Macaca fascicularis: one gene and its partners. The protein of the gene in region 1 interacts with the protein of each later gene in a pairwise test. Links are inferred from orthologs where the notes say so. Each region holds a gene or a part of one and is shown in the gene's direction. Other genes may lie near its edges. The genes, in order: UBE2E2, charged multivesicular body protein 3, ZNRF1 and ARRDC3.

The links.
Region 2: the proteins of UBE2E2 (region 1) and charged multivesicular body protein 3 interact in a two-hybrid assay, tested with the Homo sapiens proteins (2 studies listed by BioGRID). The link is inferred for Macaca fascicularis from reciprocal best matches to the Homo sapiens genes UBE2E2 and RNF103.
Region 3: the proteins of UBE2E2 (region 1) and ZNRF1 interact in a two-hybrid assay, tested with the Homo sapiens proteins (2 studies listed by BioGRID and IntAct). The link is inferred for Macaca fascicularis from reciprocal best matches to the Homo sapiens genes UBE2E2 and ZNRF1.
Region 4: the proteins of UBE2E2 (region 1) and ARRDC3 interact in binary tests that used the Homo sapiens proteins (3 or more experiments, as listed by UniProt). The two-hybrid records come from large-scale screens. The link is inferred for Macaca fascicularis from reciprocal best matches to the Homo sapiens genes UBE2E2 and ARRDC3.

What each region holds. Positions count from the first base shown.
Region 1 is NC_088376.1:25,157,707-25,161,273, reverse strand, and holds part of UBE2E2 (ubiquitin-conjugating enzyme E2 E2), read left to right. Parts: intron 1-2,628; 5' UTR 2,629-2,636; coding exon 2,637-2,812; intron 2,813-3,567.
Region 2 is NC_088387.1:34,966,186-34,969,752, forward strand, and holds part of charged multivesicular body protein 3, read left to right. Parts: intron 1-409; coding exon 410-546; intron 547-2,393; exon of another isoform or gene 2,394-3,567. UniProt on the Homo sapiens protein: Acts as an E2-dependent E3 ubiquitin-protein ligase, probably involved in the ER-associated protein degradation pathway.
Region 3 is NC_088394.1:70,818,605-70,822,852, forward strand, and holds the start of ZNRF1 (E3 ubiquitin-protein ligase ZNRF1), read left to right. Parts: upstream 1-1,402; 5' UTR 1,403-2,044; coding exon 2,045-2,468; intron 2,469-4,248. UniProt on the Homo sapiens protein: E3 ubiquitin-protein ligase that plays a role in different processes including cell differentiation, receptor recycling or regulation of inflammation. Mediates the ubiquitination of AKT1 and GLUL, thereby playing a role in neuron cells differentiation.
Region 4 is NC_088380.1:95,368,880-95,372,446, reverse strand, and holds part of ARRDC3 (arrestin domain-containing protein 3), read left to right. Parts: intron 1-40; coding exon 41-188; intron 189-1,198; coding exon 1,199-1,301; intron 1,302-2,037; coding exon 2,038-2,294; intron 2,295-2,933; coding exon 2,934-3,096; intron 3,097-3,337; exon of another isoform or gene 3,338-3,375; coding exon 3,376-3,530; intron 3,531-3,567. UniProt on the Homo sapiens protein: Adapter protein that plays a role in regulating cell-surface expression of adrenergic receptors and probably also other G protein-coupled receptors.

The sequences.
Region 1 (3,567 bases):
TCATGGAACAGATTGCTCCTGGTTTAAAATGTATAAAATGATTTCTCACTCATTTCACATTTCTTAAGGTATCGCTGGCAGCATTTTGCTGTATCTGAGCACCTTTCCCTGAGGATTGTTCTCGTTTTCACTGTCATGCGTGCTGCCCTAACTGATATGCCATTATGTACATACTTAGAAGGTTTTAAACTTCTGATATATTTTAACTGAAAGAGGTAAGGTGAAAAAAAATTAAATCCAAGAATGAGAATTTAGAGTAAAATAAAAATGAAAAAAAGCAAGAAATATGTTATGACTTTTAGAGCTAGATGTGAAACATACTGATAAAAAATTTCAGTATTCTATTAAGTGACTTTAGTGCTCATAAAAGATGTCACAGCTGTGGAGACTGGTGCTCTCCATTTACAGAATAGGTAGAAAAGTAGTCAGCTTTTCCATTAGTATGTTTCAGAGCTGTTGAGGCAGACCTGTTTTTGTGTGGCATGAGGAGCTGTTGGGGTTGAAGGGGTGCTGGTGGTGGTGTGTGTGGCGTGTCAGTGAAAGGATTCACTATTTTCTGTTGACTCTTTGCGGCTCTGTGCTTCGTGATGCCTCCATTCTTTTGCAGTGCTTTTTGGTTTGTCTTACAAAAATTTCAGTCTATTAAAGATCGGTGTTACAACATTGCTTTGGCTTGGAGCAGACTACAAGTTAAATCTTTAGTAATGATGAATTTTCATCAGTGTCAAATAGCTATCCATTTGGACTAAATTGTAGTAATTAAAAATTTTGCTTTATTTGAGGTATCTTTACCTATTCTTATTGATCATATCAGAAACAGTTTTATTTCAAGTCGTAATTTGAATAAGAATAATCAAAAGGATCCATTTCAAAAGGAGTTTGTTCAGTGTACCTCTAATTTTTAAAGGTATTTTTTTTGTTGTTAATGGTACTTGTTAAGTATAGGTATTTGTTTTTAAAGAGGTGTCTGAGAAGGTAGCTATACAGTGCTCAAAGTGATTATTAGGTGACAAAACTGTGGTGAGCACAAGACCTTTTAGAGTCTGGGCATGGGTTTTGTTGGTTCAGTTCTGGATTTGTCAGAACACTGTAGGCTAGTCAGCTCGTAAGGGATGTATTCGTAGTCATCAAACTCAGAAATTGATTATGGTAGAATGACAGTTGAGAAGAGATACTCCTCTTCTCTTACTGGAATTGTTTGTGTCTCCTGTCTAGATTATAACAGCTACCTAAATATCAAGCTATTGAGGAAATTGAGTTGGTAATCAGAGCTGCTTGGGGAGCCTGAACTCAGAGCAAAGGGAATTTGAATGCCTTGAGGGATATTTTAGCCAGACTGTGGGGAAAAGAAAAAAAAAATTCTTCAGTGTCTCGCCATCTCTTGTGAAATATGGTTGCTTTAGTATATAGCTGAATCAGTGCTGATGCCGTCGTATGGTTCAATTTTTATTTAGAATCATGCAGTCATGCAGGCCTCTGTGTTCTTCTGTTATCACAAAGGTTACTTAAAACAATTTACTAGTTTGGAGAATTTTAACCTTAGCCCAGCTCTGAGGATGTATTGATGGAATAGGGATTTGAAAGAATCCTCCCATTTTTCTGTTCCCACAACTATTTGTACTAACCTTCGTTTTTGTACTTAGCAAGTTGGCTAGTCCAGGTTTTTCACAGTTGTGGGACCAAAGGGTTTAGCACAGCACCTGGTAGAGAGTAGACCCTTAGTCATTTTTTTCTTATTTTTTGTAACAGCATTATTGATATGTGATTCACAGACTATAAAATTTACCGTTTAAAAATGTACAACTCTGTAGTTCTTAGAATATTTATTATTAGAATTGAGCAACATTATCATTATCTAATTTAAGAACATTTTTATCACCCCACAGGGAAGCATCCTACCCATTAGCAGTCAGTCTTCACTGCTCTCCCCTCACTCCCTGGCAACCACTTACCCATTTTATTTTATTATTATTATTATTTTGTTTTGAGACAGGGTCTCTCTCTGTCACTCAGGCTGGAATGCAGTGGTATCAATCATATTTTTATTTTTTGTAGAGATCGAGTCCTGCTATGTTGCCCAGGCTGGTCCTGCCTGGGCTTCCCAAAACATTGGGATTTACAGGCGTGAGATTTACTACTGAATTTGATGTTTATGAATTTGCCTATTCTGGACATTTTATCTAAATAGTCAGCTTGTGGTGCTTTGTGGCTGGCTTCTTTCACTTACAGAATGTTTCAAGGTTCATCCATTTTGTAGCACGTAGACACTGTATTTCATTCTTTTTTATGGCTAACAGTACATTATGTGAATATACTACTACATTTTGTTTATCCATTCATTCGTTAGTGGATATTTGAGTTGTTTCCAGTTTTGGTTATTATGAATAATGTTGCTGTGAACGTTTCATGTATAAATTTTGTATGTTTTTGTTTTACAATACATTTTGAATGGATGAAGGAAAAGTTTTAGCAAGTCCCAAAGCTGCATTGTTTTGTAAATGACCAATTTAATCCGTTTTATATTGAGATTTACTTGTTTTACTTTGAGATTCATTCTCTGTGTTCTGGAGGTAGCTTACTGTAGTCGTCCTCACAGCTGAGTAAATGATTTTTGATTCTTTAATCCAGGATCTAAAATGTCCACTGAGGCACAAAGAGTTGATGACAGTCCAAGCACTAGTGGAGGAAGTTCCGATGGAGATCAACGTGAAAGTGTTCAGCAAGAACCAGAAAGAGAACAAGTTCAGCCCAAGAAAAAGGAGGGAAAAATATCCAGCAAAACCGCTGCTAAATTGTCAACTAGTGCTAAAAGGTATCTCAGTTATTATAACCTTTTTATTTTTGGTATCAGTTTATCATCTTAAGTTCTGTTTTTCTCTTGCATTTAATCATTTTTTCCGTGATTGTCAGCCATGAACTTCGTGGATTTTTCTTTCCCTTTCAAGATGATCTCTTTTACATGGTTTTAGCCATAGGGAACTTCAGTATTTAAAGTCAGTTAAATGGCATGGCAGATTCATAAAATACATTTCCATAGTGTGTTTGTGTGTTTGTGTATTATTAGGGAAGCATATACAGGGCGTGCATGTAAAGTTGCAGTGGTTTCATTTATGGTTACTTGACCATAAATATTTTTTTTCTGTTCCGTAACACAAAATAGAGATTAGGAATCTTTTGAAGTGGTTATTGAGTGAGTGATAGTTTATTTTCCACTACTCCCAGTTGGTAGAGTCAGAAATGCTGACATTAGCGACAAGTGCATCTTGGTTTCATTACATTAGTCAGTGGATCCATCTTGATACAGATTTTTCTCTTTCTCTGGAGAATAGATGGATCTGGAAAGTAGGTATTTGAATGGTCTTCTTTTGGTACATCAATCTCTTAAAATGATTGGCATGTCAGTGGACTTAGAGGGAATCTGTTTTGATATTGTTACATTATAGAATATCTCTTGGAAAATAATTTGAAAGATAAAGTAGTGTCTTTTCTGATCCTGTGATTTTATGTTCTTGCTTTGTTTTCATATGTTTTATATTGCCCAAATAGGAAGTATAAATAAAAGCGATC
Region 2 (3,567 bases), on another chromosome or scaffold:
TAAGTAAGAAGCATATGAGCCATACTGTTTAAAAATGTATATGAAGCCTGTATGTGTCATACGTAAAACTAAATAATTAATAAAGTGGTGCCTTTTTGGAGTGGTACAAATTTGGTAATTTCCTAATAATTATGTGATAACCCCACTAAAATACAAGCCCTATTCTATAAGAGATAGATTTTTGTCTATTTTGTTCGCTTTTGCCTGACACGTAGGAAGTTCTTACTACATACTTATTGAATGTATGACACCTAAGTGGGTATATTCAGGTTCTACTAGTAGCTCTTGTCTATAGAATACAATGAAAGTACAATATCATGATTCTTAACAGTCTAAAAAATGGAATTACTGAAATTGGGAATCTAGGATTCTTGCAACCTTATTAGTGTTACTCTTTTCCTTTCTTTAGGTGACTTGATGGAGGGTGAGCTCTATTCTGCTCTCAAGGAAGAAGCATCGGAATCGGTTTCTAGTACCAATTTCAGTGGTGAAATGCACTTCTATGAGCTTGTGGAAGACACAAAAGATGGCATCTGGCTGGTTCAGGTATGAAAAGCAGTGATAATTTGATATTTTGAGAACCCTAAAAAATTATTTTTACTCAAATAGTATGTACTAGCCAGTGACACTTCGTGTACTTGTGTCTTGTTTCTCACACATAACTTAGTTCTCTTAGGGAGGCTCTAGTATCTTTAAAAGGTTTTGGAGACTGAGGAAAATGAAAATTGACTAGTGGGAAAGAGAAAGTTGGGGGATGGGAGTCAACTTTTTGTTTAGAATCCCCAGAAGCAAATCTATTTTAATTATTGGACCTTTGTTGAATTGAGAAATACACATATATATCCCTTTTATTTAGTGATTTGCACTGTTTCTCTCAGTTTTTGTTATCTCCAGTTTTTAATTCAGTGGCCTGAATAATTTTTATATGTAAGTAAGAACCCTAAAGTAAAAGTAAAGGAATCATTTATTAGGGAAATAGCCAACTTTGTGACTATAGAGAAGCTGTTGCGGAAAATGGTGGGGGTGCTTATTACATAGCTCATGATGATGAGATTATAATTTTTAACCCTCGTTTTTATGATAGCAAAACTGTGAGACTTAATTAGCATATTAGAATTTTAGAGCTATGAAGGACCTTAAAAATATTTTATACTTTCCAAGATATAATTTATGGCAAGTGGGCACGCATTATCGTTTACATATTTTCATTTAAATTAGAAAAATTATATTAACATGTAAATTTCATAAATTTTGCTTAGGAAGGACTAAAGTTATTTACATTTTAAAACTGTACATTCACTTAAAGTGACATATCAAGTAAATTAACAGCATGAATGTGGCTAAAATTATTAATGTAGTCTGTGAATGGCTGAAGCTTGGAAATTGTATCAGACTAACCTTTTCTGAGACTCTGAGAGGTGAACTAGCTTGCCCAAGGTCATGGAACTAGTTGGTAATATTGAACCAGGGTGAAACCCAGATCTTCTGATTTCTTGTCCGGTACTCTTGTCATTTCACCCTGGAGTAGGCAAAGTTTGATTCAGGGCATGAAAATTAAAATAGTTTCTTCATGTTTCTTTCTGAGAGTAAAGACTGCAAATATGGTAGGAAAAGCTTTGAGTTCAGAGACCTTAGTTGCAGGTCTGGTACTGTCACTGACTAGCAGTATGATTGTGAATAGGTACGTTTTTCTGTTGTACGTGACCTCAAATAAATACATATACATCTAAAAAGGATAAAATATTACAGTAGTCCTCTGTGCTAAAGAGTTGAGGTTTGGGAATTCTTCCAGAGATGACATTGTTTATCCATAGCCTTTCTTTATTGTAACCTTCCTATTGCATTTGTCCTTTTACCTTCCAGATAATCTAATTCAGTAATTTTAAGTTCAGCAATGGGAGAGAATGCGAGGGTATAGGTGTAGTCCATACATTATCTGTTTAAATTTTAATTTATTTCTGTGTTAATTGGAGTTGAAAAATAAGCTGTAGCTTTTTTAAAGCTTTAATTTATAAGTATATTGTTATTCCATTTCCTTTCTCTGGTACTTATTTCTAATAGTCTGATTGAGAAAGACACTGGTTTTGATAATTTTAGATTTTATTACTGAAGATGAGTTGAATAGCCAGTCCCACTGCCCTGCGTTCAGTGTCTAAATGTTTGTCATCCACATTGACTGATCCCATGGAAATAAATAGTGAAGATGTTGCACCCTTGAAACATGGAAGGCCATGTCAAAAGTCTTGAGTTCTTTTGCTATATAGGCTGCTGCCTATAGACAACAAATACACTCTGGTTCAATAGTTAGCAGTATATTCTTGGCTTATAAATGATCTACTGTTTTTGATGTCCTGTTAAAGATATTTATGAATTAAGCTCCTGTAATAAATATGTGACAGAATTCATCAAAAGTTTATTTAGCAGTTGTGGGTGTGCCAGGCCCTGTTCTGGGCCCTAAAGATATACCAGAAACACATACCAAGCTATGTCCTTGCTCTGTCAGGTAGCTCACATTCTAGTTGGGAGAGGCAGACACCAAATAAATATTTAATATAACATCAGTTAGTGGAAAGTACTAAGAATAAAAATAAGCAGATTAAGGAGAGGAGAGTGGCAAGGAATTCTCTGGTAAGGTGGCAAATGAAGTGAAGAACAAATAATGATAGTAAATGGTAGCATTGTAAATTCTAGTTGCTAAATTTTTTTTCTCTGAAAATATTTTTAAACCTCATAGGTATTAATAGCTGAAAAACAACTCTTAAAAAATAGGATGTATTTCTATGGTTTTCTGTATATGGAAATGATGCAGTAGGACACCTACTTAATTTTTCCAATGATGCTCAAGGTTTGCACTGACCACCACTGTCTGGCTTGTGTTCCTTGAGGCCAGTGGCTTACATCTGTCAAATGGCTGGCCTGGTCTGAAAGAACAATCTCTGTCAGGACAACTGAGAAGAATGAGATTGAAACCTTGTCCGTGGCACTGTGAACTAGCCAGCTAAGCCAATCAGCACAGCCACCTTGGTTTAAGCCCTTAAAAGAGGGTTGTATTTTTTTTAAAACTATGCTTAAAATTGAAAATATCTACTAGAAACAGAAGAGAAATGTCGTCTCCATTGCTTGCCATTCTTTCAGCTCAGATCATATATATTAATCTATTGTAAAGGATAACTTTCAAGAATTCAGTTTTTAACAATTTGAATTGTTGTTATTTTCTGTTTACGGTAGTCCCTCCTTATCTGAGGGGGATACATTCCAAGACCCCCAGTGGATGCCTGAAACTATGGATAGTACCAATCCTATATAATCTATGTTTTTTCCTATACATACATACCTGTGATAAAGTTTAATGTATAAGTTAGGCACAGTAACAACAACTAATGATAAAAATAGAACAATTATAACAATATACTGAAATAACATTTATGTAAATGTGGTGTCTCTCTCTCCGAATATCTAATTGTATGTAGCATTTTCGGACTGCAGTTGACTGCAGAAAGTGAAACTGAGGATAAGGGGAGGCCACTGTATTTTAGAAGAAGCTGACTAATTTGTTCTCTGTCATTT
Region 3 (4,248 bases), on another chromosome or scaffold:
CTCCTAGAGTGCTGGGATTACAAGCGAGTCACCATGTCCTGGCCTGATTTTCAAATTTTTAACAGACTTTTACTCAGGAGGCTGAGGCAGGAGAATTGCTTGAACCTGGAAGGCGGAGGTTGTCCAGCCTGGGCTACAGAGCAAGACTCCATCTCAAAAAAAAAAAAAAGAAAGAAAGAAAGAAAGGAAAAGAAAAACAGGCCAGGTGTGGTGGCTCACGCCTGTAATTCTAACACTTCGGGAGGCCAAGGCGGGCGGATTACCTGAGGTCAGGAGTTCAAGACCAGCCTGGCCAATATGGTGAAACCCTGTCTCTACTAAAAATACAAAAAATTAGCCGGGTGCAGTGACACGCACCTGTAATCCCAGCTACTCAGGAGGCTGAGGCAGGAGAATCGCTTGAACCTGGGAGGCGGAGGTTGCGATGAGCCGAGATTAGGCCACTCCACTCCAGCCTGGGTGACAGAGTGAGATTACGTCTCAAAAAAAAAAAAAAAAAGAAAAAAAAAGAAAGAAAAAAAAGAAAAAGAAAAACAATTGTTCGCTGAATGAATGTGAATATAGGAGAGAAAGACGGACTGAGGTATCAAAGGAACCCTCCCTTGCAAAATGATGCAGGCTTGGTCAACAATACACCTATTGAGTACCCACCGTGTCCTTGGCCGTGGTGTAGGCCGAAACACAGAACATGGTAAACAAAACAGGGCTCCAACCTTGGACAGAAGGTTTCTATAATCACTTCTAGCTACGTTGTTCTATTTCCATATCCATATCTATTCACATTTTATGGTACCTCTATTGGTTCTGAAAATTACATTTTAGCTAAGGAATCTACTCATTTGCTTAAGCCCAAAATAGGAAGTTCTGACCTAGTGTCAGCAACACTCCGGATTCACAAGTGTCCCCATGGCGCTGTTTACCCCCAAATAGCTAAACCCCGCCAAATGTTGAGATTCCGGACCTGAGGGGTGCTTGGATGGGGAACCCCCGAAAGAATGGACATCACGTCCACCAGAGGGTGCTGTGGGGGCAAATTTGTGCCAGGAGGGGAGCTCGACTGGTGACCCTCAGAGCCAGGTAGGCGTAAGGAGTAAATCTCCTTCTTCCCGGTGTTTCCTTCCCACCCCCTCGAACCATTGCTGCCCCTCCCCCATACGTGGTTCCCCCTGAATAATTTGCCATTTTCGGGGACTTAAGAAGTGTTTGCTTTTCAAAGACATCTGGTTTCTGTGGCTAACGCCCAGTGGCTCAGGCCGCCCAGGTCACAGGCCGGCCGGGGGCGGGCGGTGGGTGGGGACTGCTGGGGCGTCAGCTGCCCGGGCGCCGCAGGGGCCGCGAAAGGGTTAACCCGACGGGGGGAGGGGGAGGGGGCGCAGGCCGCGCCTGCGCTCTGCCGCCCTCCATTGTCTCCACGGCGGCCAGGAGCGCCGGCAAGCGCTGCCCGGGACCGAGCGGGGTGGCGCGGCTGGCGGGGCCGGCGGCGACTGAAGCGAGAGCGCGACACGACGCGACCGCGGCTTCCCGAGCTGCGCCTGGCCGCCCAGCGCCGCGGCCCGCCCGAGGCCTGGAGAGGTCCGGGCCGCCGTCCATGGTCGCGGCGTCCTGAGGCGGGGGACGCGCCTGGCGCCCCCGGTCCTCCTCCTCCTCCCGCGGGGCGGGCGGCCTCCTCCGGCGCCTCCCCGCGCCCGCCTGCCTCTCGCCGCCGCCTCCCTCCCTCCTTCCCTGCGGCTCCCCCGGCTTTCGGAGCCCGGGGGCGGCCTGTGGCGCGCGGAGCCCGCGCCGGACTGCGCCTCTTTGGACCTTGAGGGGAAACGTGCGTTTGGCTTGGATCGTTTGAAATTCTGAGTTTGGGATCCCCGTCCGCCCGCCTGCCTCTTCCGCCCCGCGGGTTTTTTCCTTTTTTCTTTTGCTTTTTTCTTTTCTCCCTTCGGGTCTCCTTTTTGACTCCCTCCCTCTTTATGCTCGCCCAGCCCTCCCCCCGCTGCTGAGAAGTGGGGGAGGGTCTCGGCCTCCAGGTTCCCGCCCCACCGGGGCCCGGGCGAGCATGGGGGGCAAGCAGAGCACGGCGACCCGCTCCCGGGGCCCCTTCCCGGGGGTCTCCACCGATGACAGCGCCGTGCCGCCGCCGGGAGGGGCGCCCCATTTCGGGCACTACCGGACGGGCGGCGGGGCCATGGGGCTGCGCAGCCGCTCGGTCAGCTCGGTGGCAGGCATGGGCATGGACCCCAGCACAGCAGGGGGGGTGCCCTTTGGCCTCTACACCCCCGCCTCCCGGGGCACCGGCGACTCTGAGAGGGCGCCCGGCGGCGGAGGGTCCGCGTCCGACTCCACCTATGCCCATGGCAATGGTTACCAGGAGACGGGCGGCAGTCACCATAGAGACGGGATGCTGTACCTGGGCTCCCGAGCCTCGCTGGCGGATGCTCTACCTCTGCACATCGCACCCAGGTGGTTCAGCTCGCACAGTGGTGAGTCCACGGTGGTGGAGGCCTCGGAGGGAGGGCGCGCCGGGGCGCCCCAAGCCTTCGCGCGCGTGCCAAGGTTTGGGAATATAGTGCACGACCGGGATCTGTCTGCCTTCCCTTTGGTTCCCGATGCCAAGGGATGAATGGGATACCTACCCTCTGGAAACTAGGCTTTCTGCAAGGTTGCGGAGCCTGGCGATGTAGGACTCCCGGCGTGTGTTCACTTGTGGAAGGGCAGAGCGAAGCCTACCTATTGGAGTCCCATTTATTGGCATCTCCCTCCTCAGAGAAGCGGTCTTCTCTGGCTGAGAGCAAGTCAGCCTGGGTGCTTCCATTCTGCCACTGCAGCACTGTGCCTGCCTCACCAGTAACGGAGAGATGGAGCCAGTTGGAGCAAGCAGTGTCTCCAAAACAGAGAGTATGAAAATGAAATAAAATTAGGGGCGAGTGATGCCTGGATTAGGGCTCTCACTCTTGCTGGGAGAGAGAGGTGCCCAGTTTTGCCACCCTGCTGGAGATCTGTTTGAAATGTTTAAAATGGAGCAGCCGGCAGGCGGCTGGCATAGACAGGTGTGGCTGCTGTACGGAGGGCCCAGCCGGCGAGTCTCGCGGGGGCTTTGCAGGACCAGGGCTCTGGTCACCCGTACTGCATGCAGCAGACTTGGCTCCACGACTCTCACCTCCCTCCATCTTTTTTCTTCTGCTCCATGCTAAGTGCTTGGTCTTCCCGTGAATCTGCATCTTTTTGTAACAGGGAGCCTGTCAAGGTGGGGCATTATTGCCTGACTGTTGGCACATGACTGGGGGAAAGGAGGATTCAGAGAATCTGGATGAATTCATTTTATGAACTTCTGGTGACAGGCCAGCAAAAGGTTGGAGGGGGATTTCCCAGGCTCCTACTGGGAGGGCTAAAAAGGCCTGGCAGGAGGAAAACAGGTCTGTCTGCTAGGTCAGGCTTCTAGAAAATTGGCCAAAAGGTGTGTGGGGCCGCTGTTTGCTAATTGGCAAGTTGAGTGAATAACTTACATCTTAAGTTTCTTTTGGGTGAGTTGGGAAAATTTAGATATTGTGTAGGGGAAAGATTGCTCCTGCCTTTAGGGTACTTTATGGAGGGTAATATCTCGTGGATCACTGTTTTACCTACTGTGAAATAGGGTTGACTTTTGGGGTATCGCTTTCCCCCTCCCTGCAAATATCCTGGGGTTTGTTTTCATTTGGTTCGGTTTTTTGTCAATTCTATAAACTATGTGAAATAGAGTTGGGGGACGAACTGTTAGTGACTAATTTAGGGTAACCCTTAGAAGTAGCTTGTGAATTGTTAGGATGATATTTTAATCTCTGAACAGACCTCCGGATATCATTGGAGCTTTTCTGACCTCATCGAACTCTGACCTGAATGAGATGCAAAACATGATTGCCTTTGGCTCTTTCAGGCATTTGATCAAAATTAGGCATTTTGAAATTAATAATCTTTCCTATGAAATTTAGTTCAGAGAGTTAGCCATATTTTTGAGATGACTGGTTAGGTGTTTAAAAGAACTGTAATGAGCATCTGGTTTTGAACTTAAAAGCACTATACGAAGTTTCTCTAAAATCACAGAATTTTGTGTGTTGAAAAATATGAGATATGTAGGGAGGAAGAAAGGGAGTTTTTTTTTTTTTTTTTTTTTTTTGCTGAAATTTCTTCAGTCTGTCTCTTACTAAAAATTTATTTATTATGCTACTGCCAGGTTCCATGCTAAAGTTATGAGCTTATAATTGGATTCCAGAATTTCAGTCCTAA
Region 4 (3,567 bases), on another chromosome or scaffold:
AGGTATAAAATTAATATATTGACCTTTATATTCTGCACAGACCACTTGCTACCTCATTCGAAGGCCGACATGGCAGTGTGCGCTATTGGGTGAAAGCCGAATTGCACAGGCCTTGGCTACTACCAGTAAAATTAAAGAAGGAATTTACAGTCTTTGAGCATATAGATATCAACACTCCTTCATTACTGGTAAGAATTGACTGAATTATTCATTCTTTGTTTTTGGCATATAAATATTAAAGAATAATCAATCACCTAAACTATGCAGTTGTCATAATTTAAAAATACTGGTTTTCTTTTAAAATTCCATAAATATACATTTTCTTAAATACAGTCAAGAACACTGAAATTAATGAAAAATATGCTCACATTTTTGACATTGTAGTACCTTTAAGTAAATATGAAACTAAGACCAGTATATGATATGAAGTATCTCTTACTCACAATATGAGTAACAAAAGCCATAACAACAAACAGATCTGGTCCTTGGATGATTTGAGTGGAAGAAGGACAGTAGTATCTTTTATTGTAATACAATATCACTTAACTTGACAACATCATAATCTAAAATTTGTACTATACTTTGTTATTCCAATAGAGGGATAGTTGTCAAATAATGGGGAATCATTCGTTTCATTAAAAAAACTCCTTTTTTAAAAGAATCTATTTTTAATTGCATTTGTCTGAGAATAAATCAAATTTGACTTAAAACTGTATTTGGTTTAAACAAATGATAACATCTTTAAAGCAAATAAGAAATGGGCATTTTCCTTTTTTTACATTTTTTTTTATATTCTCAGAGGAAGATGTTAACATTTGGAATTATAGTCAGATTGCTTTCTGTGCTGCCTTTTTAAGGCAGTTTAAATGGAATGTGGAAAGGGTTTTTTTTATTTGGTTGGTTTTTCATTACTGTATTTGTAAATAGTGTGAACTAAAAAACTGTTTATGGGAAACGCTGTACACCCTTTACCTTTTTTTTCTAATTGAATGGAAATTTATATAAAAATAAAAGTAATGGTATAATTCAAAACCATCAATTAGTTAAAAAATAAGAAGTATATCTGGATCCAAAAAAAAAAGCAAAACCAGTTTTAATTTTTATTTTTCCACAAATTTAGGATTATATTTTAAAATATTCTGGTATTGATTGTACCAATCCATACACTGACCTTTTTCTCTAAATTGTTTTCTTACAGTCACCCCAAGCAGGCACAAAAGAAAAGACACTCTGTTGCTGGTTCTGTACCTCAGGCCCAATATCCTTAAGTGCCAAAATTGAAAGGAAGGGCTATACCCCAGGTATGTATGAGGTAGATTCCCACAAAAAACTTTCTTCACTTAGCTTTTGTGTATAAATTTATAATATAACTATTAAATATCAACATAATATCGTATTCTTTTGTGAAATTACAAATTGTGCTTTTCCATTTGTTTTTTCACAAAATAGAATGTAGTTTCCTTTTTCAAATAGCTACTGATGAGTTCATTTCTATGACTCTTAAGTTATTTGCAGTTCCTAGGACACCTTTTCGTGCATGTTAGTTGCTCTTTCTTACTTTAGCTTTAAGAATCTTGATTTCTTGGCCAGGCGCAGTGGCTCAAGCCTGTAATCCCAGCACTTTGGGAGGCCGAAACGGGCGGATCACGAGGTCAGGAGATCGAGACCATCCTGGCTAACCTGGTGAAACCCCGTCTCTACTGAAAAATACCAAAAAAAAAAAAAAAAAAAAAAAAAAACACTAGCCGGGCGAGGTGGCGGGCGCCTGTAGTCCCAGCTACTCGGGAGGCTGAGGCAGGAGAATGGCGTAAACCCGGGAGGCGGAGCTTGCAGTGAGCTGAGATCTGGCCACTGCACTCCAGCCTGGGCGACAGAGCGAGACTCTCTCAAAAAAAAAAAAGATTCTTGATTTCTTTTGTTATTTTTTTCTAACCGGGCGACAGAGCGAGACTCTCTCAAAAAAAAAAAAAAAAGATTCTTGATTTCTTTTGTTATTTTTTTCTAACAGTAGATATGTATATATTTTTCCCTCTCTAGGTGAATCAATTCAGATATTTGCTGAGATTGAGAACTGCTCTTCCCGAATGGTGGTGCCAAAGGCAGCCATTTACCAAACACAGGCCTTCTATGCCAAAGGGAAAATGAAGGAAGTAAAACAGCTTGTGGCTAACTTGCGTGGGGAATCCTTATCATCTGGAAAGACAGAGACGTGGAATGGCAAGTTGCTGAAAATTCCACCAGTTTCTCCCTCTATCCTCGACTGTAGTATAATCCGTGTGGAATATTCACTAATGGTATGTACACATTTAAGAGGTTTTTTCCTTTCTTTTTTCTTTTTTGAAACACCTGTCACCCAGGCTGGAGTGCCACGGCACAGTCTCAGCTCTGCTGCAGCCTCTGCTTTCTGGGCTCCAGTGGTCCTCCCACCTGAGCCTCCCAAGTAGCTGGGAATACAAGTGTGCCTGTAGCCAGGCCTGGATAATTTTTGTATTTTTTGTCGTGATGGAGTTTCACCATGTCACCCAGGTTGGTCTTGAACTCCTGGGCTCAAGTGATCCACCCACCATGGCCTCCCAAAGTGTTGGAATTAGAGGCTGAGCCATAGTGCCTGGCCCAAGAAGTCTTTGGTGTTTTGTTTTGTTTTGTTTTTAATCTTAAAGTTATGGAGACATAATTTTGTCTTACATCCAGGTTTTTTAATTCCATATATAGTGACATATGAAATACATAACTCTTTATATAGTTTGACTTATAATTATACCTTATATGTAAATGTACTATATAGAATTATACATAAAAGAGAAACTTTTCATGTATGTAAGATAAAAAATGAAGTAAATGGGGGTTTCAAATAACATTAAAATTGGTTATTAGTTTTTGAAAAGGAAATCATACTTGGCATTCTAAACGTAATATTTCTTTGCAATGTTTAGGTATATGTGGATATTCCTGGAGCTATGGATTTATTTCTTAATTTGCCACTTGTCATCGGTACCATTCCTCTACATCCATTTGGTAGCAGAACCTCAAGTGTAAGCAGTCAGTGTAGCATGAATATGAACTGGCTCAGTTTATCACTTCCTGAAAGACCTGAAGGTAATTTGATAATACATATCTAAGCTTAATTTCTTACTATTATTATCAAGAAAATTATTTTGCTTCTGATATTTTATGACCCTAGATGAATGTAATCTTCCCCTAAAGAAAGTAGATGTGCCCCTAATACTCAGTTTTGATTATATGTCTTCATAGTTTTAATCACCAAACAAATAATTATTATTTTACCTTGACATTGCTTTTTAATACCTACTATTTTGTGTATTTTGACATGCATAAGAACATGCTGTTCGAATTGCGTGTATCTTTTTCCTTCAGCACCACCCAGCTATGCAGAAGTGGTAACAGAGGAACAAAGGCGGAACAATCTTGCACCAGTGAATGCTTGTGATGACTTTGAGAGAGCGCTTCAAGGACCACTGTTTGCATATATCCAGGAGTTTCGGTTCTTGCCTCCGCCTCTTTATTCAGAAGTAAGTACCTACTCTTAAGTGTGCAATGAACTGGCTG